Linked DNA regions of Sus scrofa. The protein of the gene in region 1 interacts with the protein of each later gene in a biochemical or structural test. Links are inferred from orthologs where the notes say so. Each region holds a gene or a part of one and is shown on either strand. Other genes may lie near its edges.

Region 1 (3,746 bases):
TCCATCTTTTGCACAGGAAATTACAACAGCATCTCCAATGTGACTGAGATCTCGGCATATACGTGCAAATTCACCAGAAGGCATCTTTACTACACAGCTGTACTCTTGTTCCTATGAAACAAGGAAACTTAAGTTCAATGAATGGAAATGAAAGATTTGGCACCCTTACTGTCTGAAGACTCAGCATTTAAACAAGAGAATTTAAGGTTTTCTAATTATTTTGAAATATCACTTTGTGTAATTTCTTAACATACTCTAACCACTCAAAACGTAAACACAGTTATAGAACAAGAATGTTATAAAATAATCAAAGGAAACAAATAAGAACTTGAACTTTTATAGTAAATGCACTGTCCAGGGAACAAGAGCCTCCCCTTAAATGATCTACAGGGTTAAATCAAGAGAACATTAGGGTATAGCACACACACAATGACGGTGCTAACAGGCCGTCATTTTTTTGAAAAACAAAACAAGAAAATACAATTACTAGGCATATTAAACATCCAAACCCTCTTCTCTCATTTAATGTTGATAAACCAAAGCATAATGAATTTCTGCTAAAGTAGCTTTAAAATGTACTCAATAAAAAATTAAGCATTGTAGGAATAAAAAGAAGAGAGTCAATTAGGTTAATGCAAATATGCATGTGGCAGCAATCAATTCAAAACAATGAGCCATTGCAGAATACCATCATTTATATCAGTCTAAATACTCGGATTTGGAACATACATGAGCAGATATACAGAAAAAGCTCTTTTAGGAAGTAGGCTTTATTATATTAATATATTTTATGTAACTATCATGACTGTATGTAGTATGCTCAATCAGAAACTTTGATACTCACTGGAATTCCAAGTTGCTCAACATCTAAATCCATTAACTTCATTTCATAGTCTGAAACCTTTTCCTGATCTACCAAAAGAAAGCAAACGATGAAGAAAAACATGTAGGTTTATAATTGTGATAAATTTTACAATTACCACAAACTATCTTAAATTTCTCTCAGCTTTGGGAAATAAAGACACTGCATTCTAATCTCCTCTAGCATTAACTCAGAAGGGTGTAACTTACTTGGAGCTTCAAACACTAGTGCCAAGGTGTCTGCATTATCTTCTGCCCTTAGCGTAATGATGTCTTCATTGCCAGCACATTTTAGTATTTTGGACATGCTGGAACACAGGAGACAAGAGTTTAAAATCGACACCATCTTCTCAAGATCGTTAGCTTTCTAACTCAATTAAAACCATGAGTTACCACTTTTAACCACTGGACCACGTGTCGAATTGGCGAGTTTGGGAAACGTACTGCAGGAAGATGTAAGAGAGTCCAGCCGTTTTGGAATGCAATCTGCCAGTATTTATACTTATACGAAAAAGCCCACACCCCACAATGTGCAATTTCGCTTCGGGATATTAAAAAAAAGACCAGTATTTTAGAAAGTACAAATCCCTTTGGTGGGTGAAGTAAATTATTGGGCCGCGACGATCTTAGATTTTAATGTACCCACTGAAGCACCAGTCTATTATATTGAGTGTAGCACGGGTAAACACTTTTCACAAGCTTTAAAACTTAAACATGTGTATGTACTAGGAAAGGTAGTGATCAAAAAGTTTAAAACCACTGTCCTTCCTGGAGAAATTTTTCCTCAAATCCAGGATCTTAGGATGTTCACTGCAACTTTGCGGTAAAAAAGTAAGCTATTGTCCATATCACGGCGACAGAAGTAGGGCAAATTATAAAGCGGCTCATCTAAAGGCGCCTGCAATTAATAACCAAGGGCTCCGCAACAATCTTTTCCTGGCACCGCGAAGAAGCCCGTCGTTTTCCCGCCACCACTTGCTTTGTGACTTTGGCGCGGAAACAGCCGGTTCGCGCTGCAGTCAGCGCGGGCTTTCCGAACCGCGCGCTCTGCTACTGGTCCCGCCCCCCCGCCCCGCGCCACAGGCCAATAAGAAAGGTGCAGATATCCCACGCCAGCCAATAAGGGCCCGCCTTATGGGCGCTCCCGCCAAGAGCGGAGGTAGGGGTGTCCGCGGGCCCGACAGTCTGCGGCTTCGGGACTCACCTGGTGAGGTTCACGCCCATGGCCAAATTGCGGTCGCAGCGGTACGTGTCGAAGCCCTCGGAGCGCAGGGTGAGCTGCACCAAAGAGACATGAGACGAGTCCATGCTCTGCAGGTTCACGCCGCTGGAGCTGATGTCCCAGCAGGCCTCGTTGATGAGGTCTTTAAGCGCTTCCAGCACCTTCTTCAGGATAGAGCCCTGGACCAGGCGCGCCTCGAACATGGTGGTGGAATCACAACGACGCGGCTACAGGTGGAAGAAAGAAGGAAGGAGTAGCCGGCTTAGGCTTCAGAAGTTGAGAGAGAGCAGGAAAACACCACAACAGAGCCTGAACCGGAGGACGCACACTGCCAGCCGGCCGCGCCTGCAGCGGTTTAATACAGCCGCGTCTGCGAGCGCGCGCTACGCCCCCACGCCCTTCATGGCTACGTCACCACGCTGCCCCGCCCACTGCCTGGGCGGAGAGGCTGCGGAGCCAATCGTGTCCCTGCTCCACATGAAGCCCGTCCCACCCCGAACATCCATTGGAGAGTGTGGGCGTAGGGGCGGGGCAGGAATCTTGCGCCTAACGAGGGCCTGCTGATAGGCATCCTGCGGGGCTCCCCGCCTTTTTGTCGTGTTCCGGCGCCCGGACGTTAGACAAGTCGGGGCAAGTGTGAAGGTCAGGCCTAGGCTTGGGGGGGGGTCGTTGAGGTGGCTTTGTGGTGCCTCATCAATTTCCCGCTTGAGGGATGGGACATTTACAGCCTTGAAAGTGAAGGTGAAACGGAAATCCAGCCTTCTAGGAGGAAGAGCCACCATGCGCCTAAAGAGTATAGCTACTTTAAATATGCACTTTTTTCCCCCTGCTATTATAGAGTAGCAATTATAGAAGCGTTCCTAAAAGTGAACAATAAAGAGATGTACAGTTATGATTAAAAGAAAACAGTTATCGTGGCTCCCCACTGCCATCGCCTCCCCCACCACACACACACCAAACTATCGTTTACTGCATACAACTTTCTAAGCTTTTTTTTTTGTACAAATGTACTTTTAAAAACAAAATTCAGGAGTTCCCGTCGTGGCGCAGTGGTTAACGAATCCGACTAGGAACCATGAGGTTGCGGGTTCGAACCCTGGCCTTGCTCAGCGGGTTAAGGATCCGGCGTTGCTGTGAGCTGTGGTATAGGTTGCAGATGCGGCTGAGATTCTGAGTTGCTGTGGCTCTGGAGTAGTAGGCTGGTGGCTACAGCTCCGATTGGACCCCTAGCCTGGGAACCTCCATGTGCCGCGGGAGCTGCCCTAGAAAAGACAAAAATAAATAAATAATTAAATAAAAACAAAATTCAGGGAGTTCCCCTAGTAGCGCAGTGGAAACAATCCGATTAGGAACCCTGAGGTTGCGGCTCGATCCCTGGCCTTGCTCAGTGAGTTAAGGATCAGGCGTTGCCGTGAGCTGTGGTGTAGGTCACAGACGCGGCTTGGATCTGGAGTTGCTGTGGCATAGGCCAGCAGCTGTAGCTCGTATTCTACCCGCAGCCTGGGAACTTCCCTATGCCTCGGGCGCGGCCCTGAAAACAAAAAACAAAAAAACGGTTTATACTGTAAACACTTATGCAAAATACTTAACAAAGTATGTTTAATTTTATGCCACGTACTTCTTTTCTACATCATCATCTCTTTAAAAAAAGATTTACCAATTT
Region 2 (3,646 bases), on another chromosome or scaffold:
TGGGACAAGAGTTCCTGTCTCACTTGCCCAGCCTACCAGGAATACAGATGGTGACAGCCAGCAGTAAATGCTGCTCGCAAAGCTATTGGTGCCAGGGGTTCTGTAGATAAAGTCGGAGAGGGACGGGCGTGGCCGGGCGGGGTGGGCGGAGGCCGAGACCGAGGGAGGGCAGCAGTCTTGCTCATTCTTTCCGTCTGTCACACAGCCACCTAACAGACCCTAGGTCCCTGGCAGTCTCCACCCCAGCCCATCTCCTCCCCTGGTCCCCACGAGGAGAGGGGAGCAGAGAGCAGGTTTCCTCCCCCTTCCTAAGGGGGCTAGGGCAAGGCCGGAGGTCAGCCAGCGGCCTTGTCAAGCTCTTGCACTTGATATGCTATGTGTCCTCCGTGTCCGTCTTGTCCCTGCGTGAGCACCCCAGTGGGGACGCTTGGCAGATGCTAGAACAGTGTTCTGCTCCAAGAGGAGTGTGGGCAGAAAAGCCCACTGCCTCCCTCCCTGCCCACAGCAGCATCCTAGGCCTGTTTGCTCTGCTGCTCAGACAGGAAGGCAAGACCACAGGGGGCCTGGGTCTCCAAAATTCTGCCAAGCTGGGTTCAGTGCCTCAGCTCCTGGCCTACAAGGTTCTTAGGAAAGTCTTCTGTGTAGCCCCTTCCCCTAGGGTTTGGGGCCTGGCATATTCCAGACTTGGTTACCTCCAGCCACGGGGAGCTCCCTCCCTGATACTGTGTCCTCACATGGCTCTGGGTGAAAGACTTGGAAGAATGGGCAGCAGGCGGGGCTGGGGCCACTTATGCTGGGAGGGGCCTTGTGCACACCCCCTGTACACACTTGGAGTTGAGGGGCCCCCAAGCCCATCCTCAGATCCAGTGATTCACTAGAAGGATTCAGAGGCTCAGAAAAGCAGTTAAGCTCATGGTTGTGATTTATTGCCGCGACAGGCTGGGGATTAACATCGGCCAAAGGAAAGGCGCGTGGGGCAGAGTCCAGGGGGACCAAGCACAAGCTCCCAGGTGTCCCCCGGCTCCTGTGGACGGTGTTGTTCCTCCCAGCATGGAGGCTGAGCTGCACACACCTGGTCCTGCCCATCAGGGACGCTCACCTGAGCATTGGTGTCCTGGGTTTTTATTGGAGATCAGTTGTGGAGGCAGGGAGCCCCGTGTGACTGACCCTAGTGACTCAGTCTCCTGGCCGTCCAGAGGTCAAACTGATCCCATGTGGCCCAAGGTCCCTGCCGTAAATCACATTAGCACAGGTCACTTGGTGTGACCCAAGGTCCCAAGTGAACAAAGACGCTTGTGAAGCAGGACATGCCGAGGGCTCCCAAGCACCCACAAAGAGCCAGGTGCCTCTCTGGGCAAAGTGCATCTCTTAGACAGGCCACCCTTACCCCGCGGACTTGCCCTTCCTAATCCCTGGGGGCCACCTCCAGCCTCCTTGGTGGAAAGAAGTGGGTGTTTGATCATCAGCTTCCAGCCCCCTATGGGGAGACCAGGCAGGAGGCTGGGGCTTTTCCTCCCCTGGGGCTTCTCGTCATCGCAGCTGTTGCTTCCTGGCCTTCTCTCTCTCTCATCTCCCTCTCAGCCCCTTCCCTCTGTCTCTGTTTTGTTTTGGTGTCTTAGCCTCTTTCCCTGTTTCTGTCTCTCAAGCTTATGGGGGCAGGGGAATGAAGGAAAACAAATACACAGCCAGAATACTGAGTCATTCCTGAAAAGGCAAGGAAAGAACAGGGAACAGAGAGCAGGCGGAACAGATGAAAGACAGTCCAGTGGTAGGTTTAAGCCCAGATGCAATTGGTGATTACACTAAACATAAGTGGCTCAAACACTGTCCTTAAAGACCAGGATTTTCTGACTGGATCCAAACAGAAACACCCATTTATCCTTGGTGTGTCCCTCCTCCTTTCCCAGCCTGTTTCCTTATTTGTAGAAGGTTATTGAAGACGAATGGGCTCTCTCGAGGCACTGGTACAGCCCCCTCCCTTGGAGGGGAGGCATTTAACAGCTGGTGGGGTCACTTCCAATTGCCCAAGGATGGGCGGGCAGGACCAGGAAGGTCCAGGGTCCTGCGCCTCGGACAGGAGAGCTACCCGGAATGTCGCTGGATGTGGAGAGAAATACCAAGCTGATGGCCTCGTCTGGCTCCAGCCTTTCCGCTGCTCGTTTACTGCAGTCAGTTCCGCCTCTGCCCTGAGCTCTGGCCCGGGGATCCATTTCTTTCCATTAAGGAGCAGTTCAGCAGCCCCATTTCGCAGGTTTGGAAGCTGAGACCCAGAGGGTGGCGGAGTAGCGCACCCGCCAGGTCCACACCCGTAGGAAGCAGCGGAAGTGGGACTACCATCCTGTGTGGCCCCTGGGCCCTCACGCCGCGTGGTTCTCTCCCCAACAGAGCGTCACTGGGTTCGGGCGCCAGATGATCGAGAAGACAAAGCAGCTGGTGGAGTCCAAGTACACGGTGGAGAACGGCTACGGCACCAGCGCCAAGGTGGGGCCTCCTCCTGTCCGCCTGAGTTGGGCCTGGGGCTGGTGTGGAGAGCGCAGGGGCCAACGACGTCTCCCCGCCTCCCCCGGGCACATGCGCCCCTCCCCAGGTGGTGTACGGCGACACCGACTCCGTCATGTGCCGATTTGGCGTCTCCTCTGTGGCCGAGGCGATGGCCCTGGGGCGCGAGGCCGCAGACTGGGTGTCTGGCCACTTCCCCGCGCCCATCCGGCTGGAGTTTGAGAAAGTAAGTGCCCCCCCCACTCCCACCCCCCCGAGACCTGGTAGGCAGGCGTGGGTCTTGCCAGCTTGGGGCGTCTCTCTTAGGATGCCTACAGAGTTTAAGAATGCATTCAGGAGTTCCCATCGTGGTTTAGTGGAAATGAATCTGACTAGTATCCATGGGGACACAGGTTCGATCCCTAGCCTCGCTCAGCGGGTTAAGAATCAGGCTTTGCCGTGAGCTGTGGTGTAGGTTGCAGATGTGGCTCGGATCTGGGGTGGCTGTGGCTGTGGCGTAGGCTGGCAGCTGCTGCTCCAATTCCACCCCTAGCCTGGGAACCTCCATATCCTGCCAGTGTGGCCCTAGAAAGACCAAAAACAAAAACAAAACAAAAGTGTGCATTTGTGGGAGTTCCCACTGTGGCACAACAGGGTTGACAGTGTCTCTGCAGCACTAGGACGCAGGTTCGATCCCTGGTCCAGCACAATGGGTTAGGGATCTGGTGTTGCTGCAGCCGTGGCCTGGGTGGAAACTAGCTGGGATCCGCTCCCTGGCCCGGGAACTCCATGTGCCACAGGATGACCGAAAAAGAACACATTTGTGTGGGCTTCTCCTCTACCTCAGCATCTGGGAAGCCCCAGTGTTGTCAGGGTGTCGATGTTGGGGTGCTCTGGCTATCCCATTCTTTAGTTCATGACCCGCCGTGTCGAGGTATTTTGCTGCCTGAACCCTGAGTTCAGGACGTGGGCTTCTCTGAACAGGAGGGTGTCTGTTTTCTGGAGACCCTGTCCGCCTGGGGGAGCTGCTCTGTGCAGCAGGGACCCTGACCGGGGTGATTCCTGGATCCCAACACTGTTGTCCTTGCTCCCCAGCACCCAGCACGTGACAGGCCTGGGTCTGGGAGCCCTCAGGCCATATTCCTCCCCACCCCTCAGAGCTGGGGTC
Region 3 (3,646 bases), on another chromosome or scaffold:
ACTGGGAAGGCAGTCACCACGGCGGTGGCTAGGTCTAGGGTTACGGAAATGTCATAAAGACACAAACTTTTCCGAGGTCAAACATTGCCAGGGTCATGGCGGAGCGAGTGTGGACGCCACTCCCAGGCAGGCAGCTGCCCGGCGGGGCGCCCCACCCGCACCCCAGCCCCAGGGCCGCCGGCGCGCCCACGTGCTATCGGAGCGGGGCCGGCGGGGGCGCATGGCCCTTCTGGGCGCGCGGAGCGAGTGCGGGGAGGGTGCCTGCTTACCCCATTGGTGCGGGGCCTCCCCGGGCCCCTCCGCTCCACCATCTCCGGGCCCGGGGCCGTCGCTGCCACCGCCGCCGCCGCCGCCGCCGCCTCCACCGCGCGGGGCTTGGACATCTTCCTGCCTGGAGAGGGGGACCCGGGGGAAGCGGGGGAGGGGGCGCTCAGGGCGCGGCGGGGCGGGGAGCGGGGCCGCCCGGGCCGGGCGCCGCGGCGGCGCCTCCCGCCGCAGCCATATTCCGAGGACCCGGCGGCGACGGGCCGCCCGTGCCGCCGAGAGGCCGAGGCCGGCCGGCCGGGCCAGGCCGGGGCCCGCGTCGCCCTCCCGCCGCCCGGCCCGGCCGGGCCCCGCGCGCCGCCCGCCCCCCGCGCGGCCGGGCCCGACACACCCACCTGCAGCCCGGCCAGGCCCATGGCGGCGCGCCCCTCGCCCTCGCCGCCGCCGCCGCCGCGGCCCGGCCACCAGCGCTGCCGCTGCCGCTGTTGCTGCTGCTGCCGCCGCCACCAGCGCCGGCGCGGCGCCCCGGGGAAGGGCCGGCGGCGCCCCACGGCGCCCCCTTCCCCCATGGCCTGCGAGGCAGGGCCCGGCACCCGCGCGCCGCGGCAGCCCGGGCCAGCCCGGGAGCGAGGACGCAGGGAGGGAGGCGCTGGCGGCGCGTCCCCCGCGGCCCGCCTGCTAGCCGCCGCCGCCGCCACCGCCCACCGTCCGCTCCCGGCCGGGGAGGGGGCTGGCAGGGGCGGTGCTGCAAGGCTCCTCCCGAGGGAGGGAGGAAGGGAGGGGAGCGAGGGAGGGAGGGCGGGCCCCGCGGCCGCGACGAATCCCGACTCGGGCGCGCCCCCTCTCGCACGTTCTCAGCCACTCCGGGAGGAAGGGGTGGGAAAAATGATAATGACAGCCCCGGCTTTCGCCCGCCAGGGTCCTTCTCTGGCCCGCTCCTCAGATATTTCGGGAGACCCGTCCGAGCCAGGCGCAGTCAGCAGCGGTGAATGCGACAGGCGAGAGAGCCCTCCGGGGTGCCCGAGCCTGTGCTCACAGAACGTTTTCCGGGCACTTAATCTTTCCGGCAAGTCCGGGGGGGCAGGTCCTGTGCATAGCCCGTTTTGATGAAGATACTGAGCCTCTGGGGAAGTGCAGCTGCTTGCCTAAGGCCACCTGAACTAGAACATGACCAGGTCAGGTGTCAAACCCACTTGGTCTGCACGGCACCGGTGCAGACCCTGGGGAGACAGAGCCAGGAATTATAATGGTGTGTTTGCTGGGTGCTTCTCTTGCATATCTTATCTCAGTCAAACCTCACAGCAGCCGGGTGAAGGTAGTCACCATTATTACCTCCTCCACAGATAGGGAAAATAATGCTCAGAAAAGTGAGAAGCTTGGCCAAATTCTCAGAACTAGAAATAGATTTCCAGGCCAACAGACCCCAGAGGCTGTAGTCTTAGCCACTATCTTCCTGGTTACAGATGAGGAAATAAGTAGGAAGGAGCAAGTGTGTTAGAGAACGGTTTAGCAAGTCACCCAAGCCTCCTGTCCCCCAAAGAGAAAATGTCTGAGGCAAGCAGGAGTTCTAGGCAGTGCAGTTATCTCAGCATAGCTTATTGCCCTGAACCACTGTGCTGTAGCGTAGCCATTGGGGTTTGAGGGCCCACAGCCAAAGAGTCTCTGTATTTGTGCAAAGTCATAGATGCAAACAAGACACCTCAGGACATCTAGCCTTGGGTTATGGCCTGGAAGACAAAGATTGGGTATCTCTCCCTGCATCTGCCCCAGAGGTGCTTTGAGACCCAGTCTAGATCTCAGCATCCTCATGGATAAAAACCAAGAGCTATGGGAGTTCCCGTTGTGGTTCAGTGGTTAACGAATCTGACTAGGAACCATGAGGTTTCGGATTCGATCCCTGCCCTTGCTCAGTAGGTTAAGGATCCAGCGTTGCTGTGAGCTGTGGTGTAGGTCACAGATGTGGCTCGGATCCCGAATTGCTGTGGCTCTGGTGTAGGCCGGTGGCTACAGCTCCAATTTGACCCCTAGCCTGGGAACCTCCATATGCCACAAGAGTGGCCCAAGAAATGGCAGAAAGACAAAAAAAAAAAAACAAAAACAAAAACCAACAACAACAGCAAAAATAAACCAAGAACTATGAATTCCATAACCCACCCAGGGCACCTTCCAAAATCCACAAATAAACAAATGGCTGTCACTTTAAACAGCTGCCTCCCCTTAGAAGGGATAAGAGTGGATTAAATGGCAAGACACTGCTCAGGACAATGCCTCCCAAATCAGCTCATGCTTTAGCATCCTTCAGAGCAGGGCTGAGGAGCCCCTCCCCCATCCCCACCCAACCACTAACTCTGGTGGTACTCTGCCCACATGAAGACTGAAGAGACTACACAGAGAGTTAAAGAGGATTCTAAAGCGACATTCTGGCACCCAGGTTGAGCTATTTGAAAGTGTCTGTTACCTCTGCAGAGCAGAACAGGTTTGTAGTTTGATGCCAAACTATTATGGAAATCATGATTTGGAGGCAGCAAGCAGCTGCTCAGATCATCTTGTCCACTTCTCATACTATTTTAACTCCCCACCCCCACTACACACACACACACACACACACACACACACACACACACACCACACACACATACACACACACACTCATGGCTGTAGTTTTCTCCAGCCTACAAATGCAGGGCATACATTAAAATGCAAGTCTAGTACCTATTCCTCTCAATTCTGAAGCTCTAGTACCTAGAAAATGTAGTAGAGATCATTCAGTGAAGTTTCAAAACATGTTTTCTCTGTACATGAGGTGTTCACACATATATAACAAATACAGGAGTTCCCGTCGTGGCGCAGTGGTTAACGAATCCGACTAGGAACCATGAGGTTGCGGGTTCGGTCCCTGCCCTTGCTCAGTGGGTTAACGATCCGGCGTTGCCGTGAGCTGTGATGTAGGTTGCAGACGCGGCTCGGATCCCACGTTGCTGTGGCCCTGGCGTAGGCCAGTGGCTACAGCTCCGATTCGACCCCTAGCCTGGGAACCTCCATATGCCGCGGGAGCGGCCCAAGAAATAGCAAAAAGACAAAAAAAAAAAAAACAAAAAAAAACAAAAAAAAAAAAAACCAAAAAAAACAAAAAAAAACAAATACATTTACCAATTAACAGAAAGAAAATCTCTTACTGTTGCCCAGGATCTCATAGAAACAGAATTCAGGAATTCCCTGTTGGCACAGTGGGTTAAGGACTCGGCATTGTCACTGCTGTGGTTCGGGTTCAGCCCCTGGCCTGGGAACTTCTACATGCCATGGGTGCGGCCAAAAAAAACCAAACAAACTAGAATTCAACAGCAACGATACTAATAGCTAACACTTACTGAATTTTTACTGT

What was found.
Region 2: the proteins of PCNA (region 1) and POLD1 form a complex in vitro, tested with the Homo sapiens proteins (4 studies listed by BioGRID, with this or other methods). The link is inferred for Sus scrofa from reciprocal best matches to the Homo sapiens genes PCNA and POLD1.
Region 3: the proteins of PCNA (region 1) and KMT5A form a complex in vitro, tested with the Homo sapiens proteins (4 studies listed by BioGRID, with this or other methods). The link is inferred for Sus scrofa from reciprocal best matches to the Homo sapiens genes PCNA and KMT5A.

What each region holds. Positions count from the first base shown.
Region 1 is NC_010459.5:14,140,258-14,144,003, forward strand, and holds the start of PCNA (proliferating cell nuclear antigen), read right to left. Parts: upstream 2,328-3,746; 5' UTR 2,287-2,327; coding exon 2,066-2,286; intron 1,170-2,065; coding exon 1,072-1,169; intron 913-1,071; coding exon 845-912; intron 112-844; coding exon 1-111. UniProt on the Homo sapiens protein: Auxiliary protein of DNA polymerase delta and epsilon, is involved in the control of eukaryotic DNA replication by increasing the polymerase's processibility during elongation of the leading strand.
Region 2 is NC_010448.4:55,264,814-55,268,459, forward strand, and holds part of POLD1 (DNA polymerase delta catalytic subunit), read left to right. Parts: intron 1-2,385; coding exon 2,386-2,481; intron 2,482-2,587; coding exon 2,588-2,725; intron 2,726-3,646. UniProt on the Homo sapiens protein: As the catalytic component of the trimeric (Pol-delta3 complex) and tetrameric DNA polymerase delta complexes (Pol-delta4 complex), plays a crucial role in high fidelity genome replication, including in lagging strand synthesis, and repair.
Region 3 is NC_010456.5:29,536,945-29,540,590, forward strand, and holds part of KMT5A (N-lysine methyltransferase KMT5A), read right to left. Parts: intron 730-3,646; exon of another isoform or gene 681-729; coding exon of another isoform or gene 660-680; intron 392-659; coding exon 270-391; intron 1-269. UniProt on the Homo sapiens protein: Protein-lysine N-methyltransferase that monomethylates both histones and non-histone proteins. Specifically monomethylates 'Lys-20' of histone H4 (H4K20me1).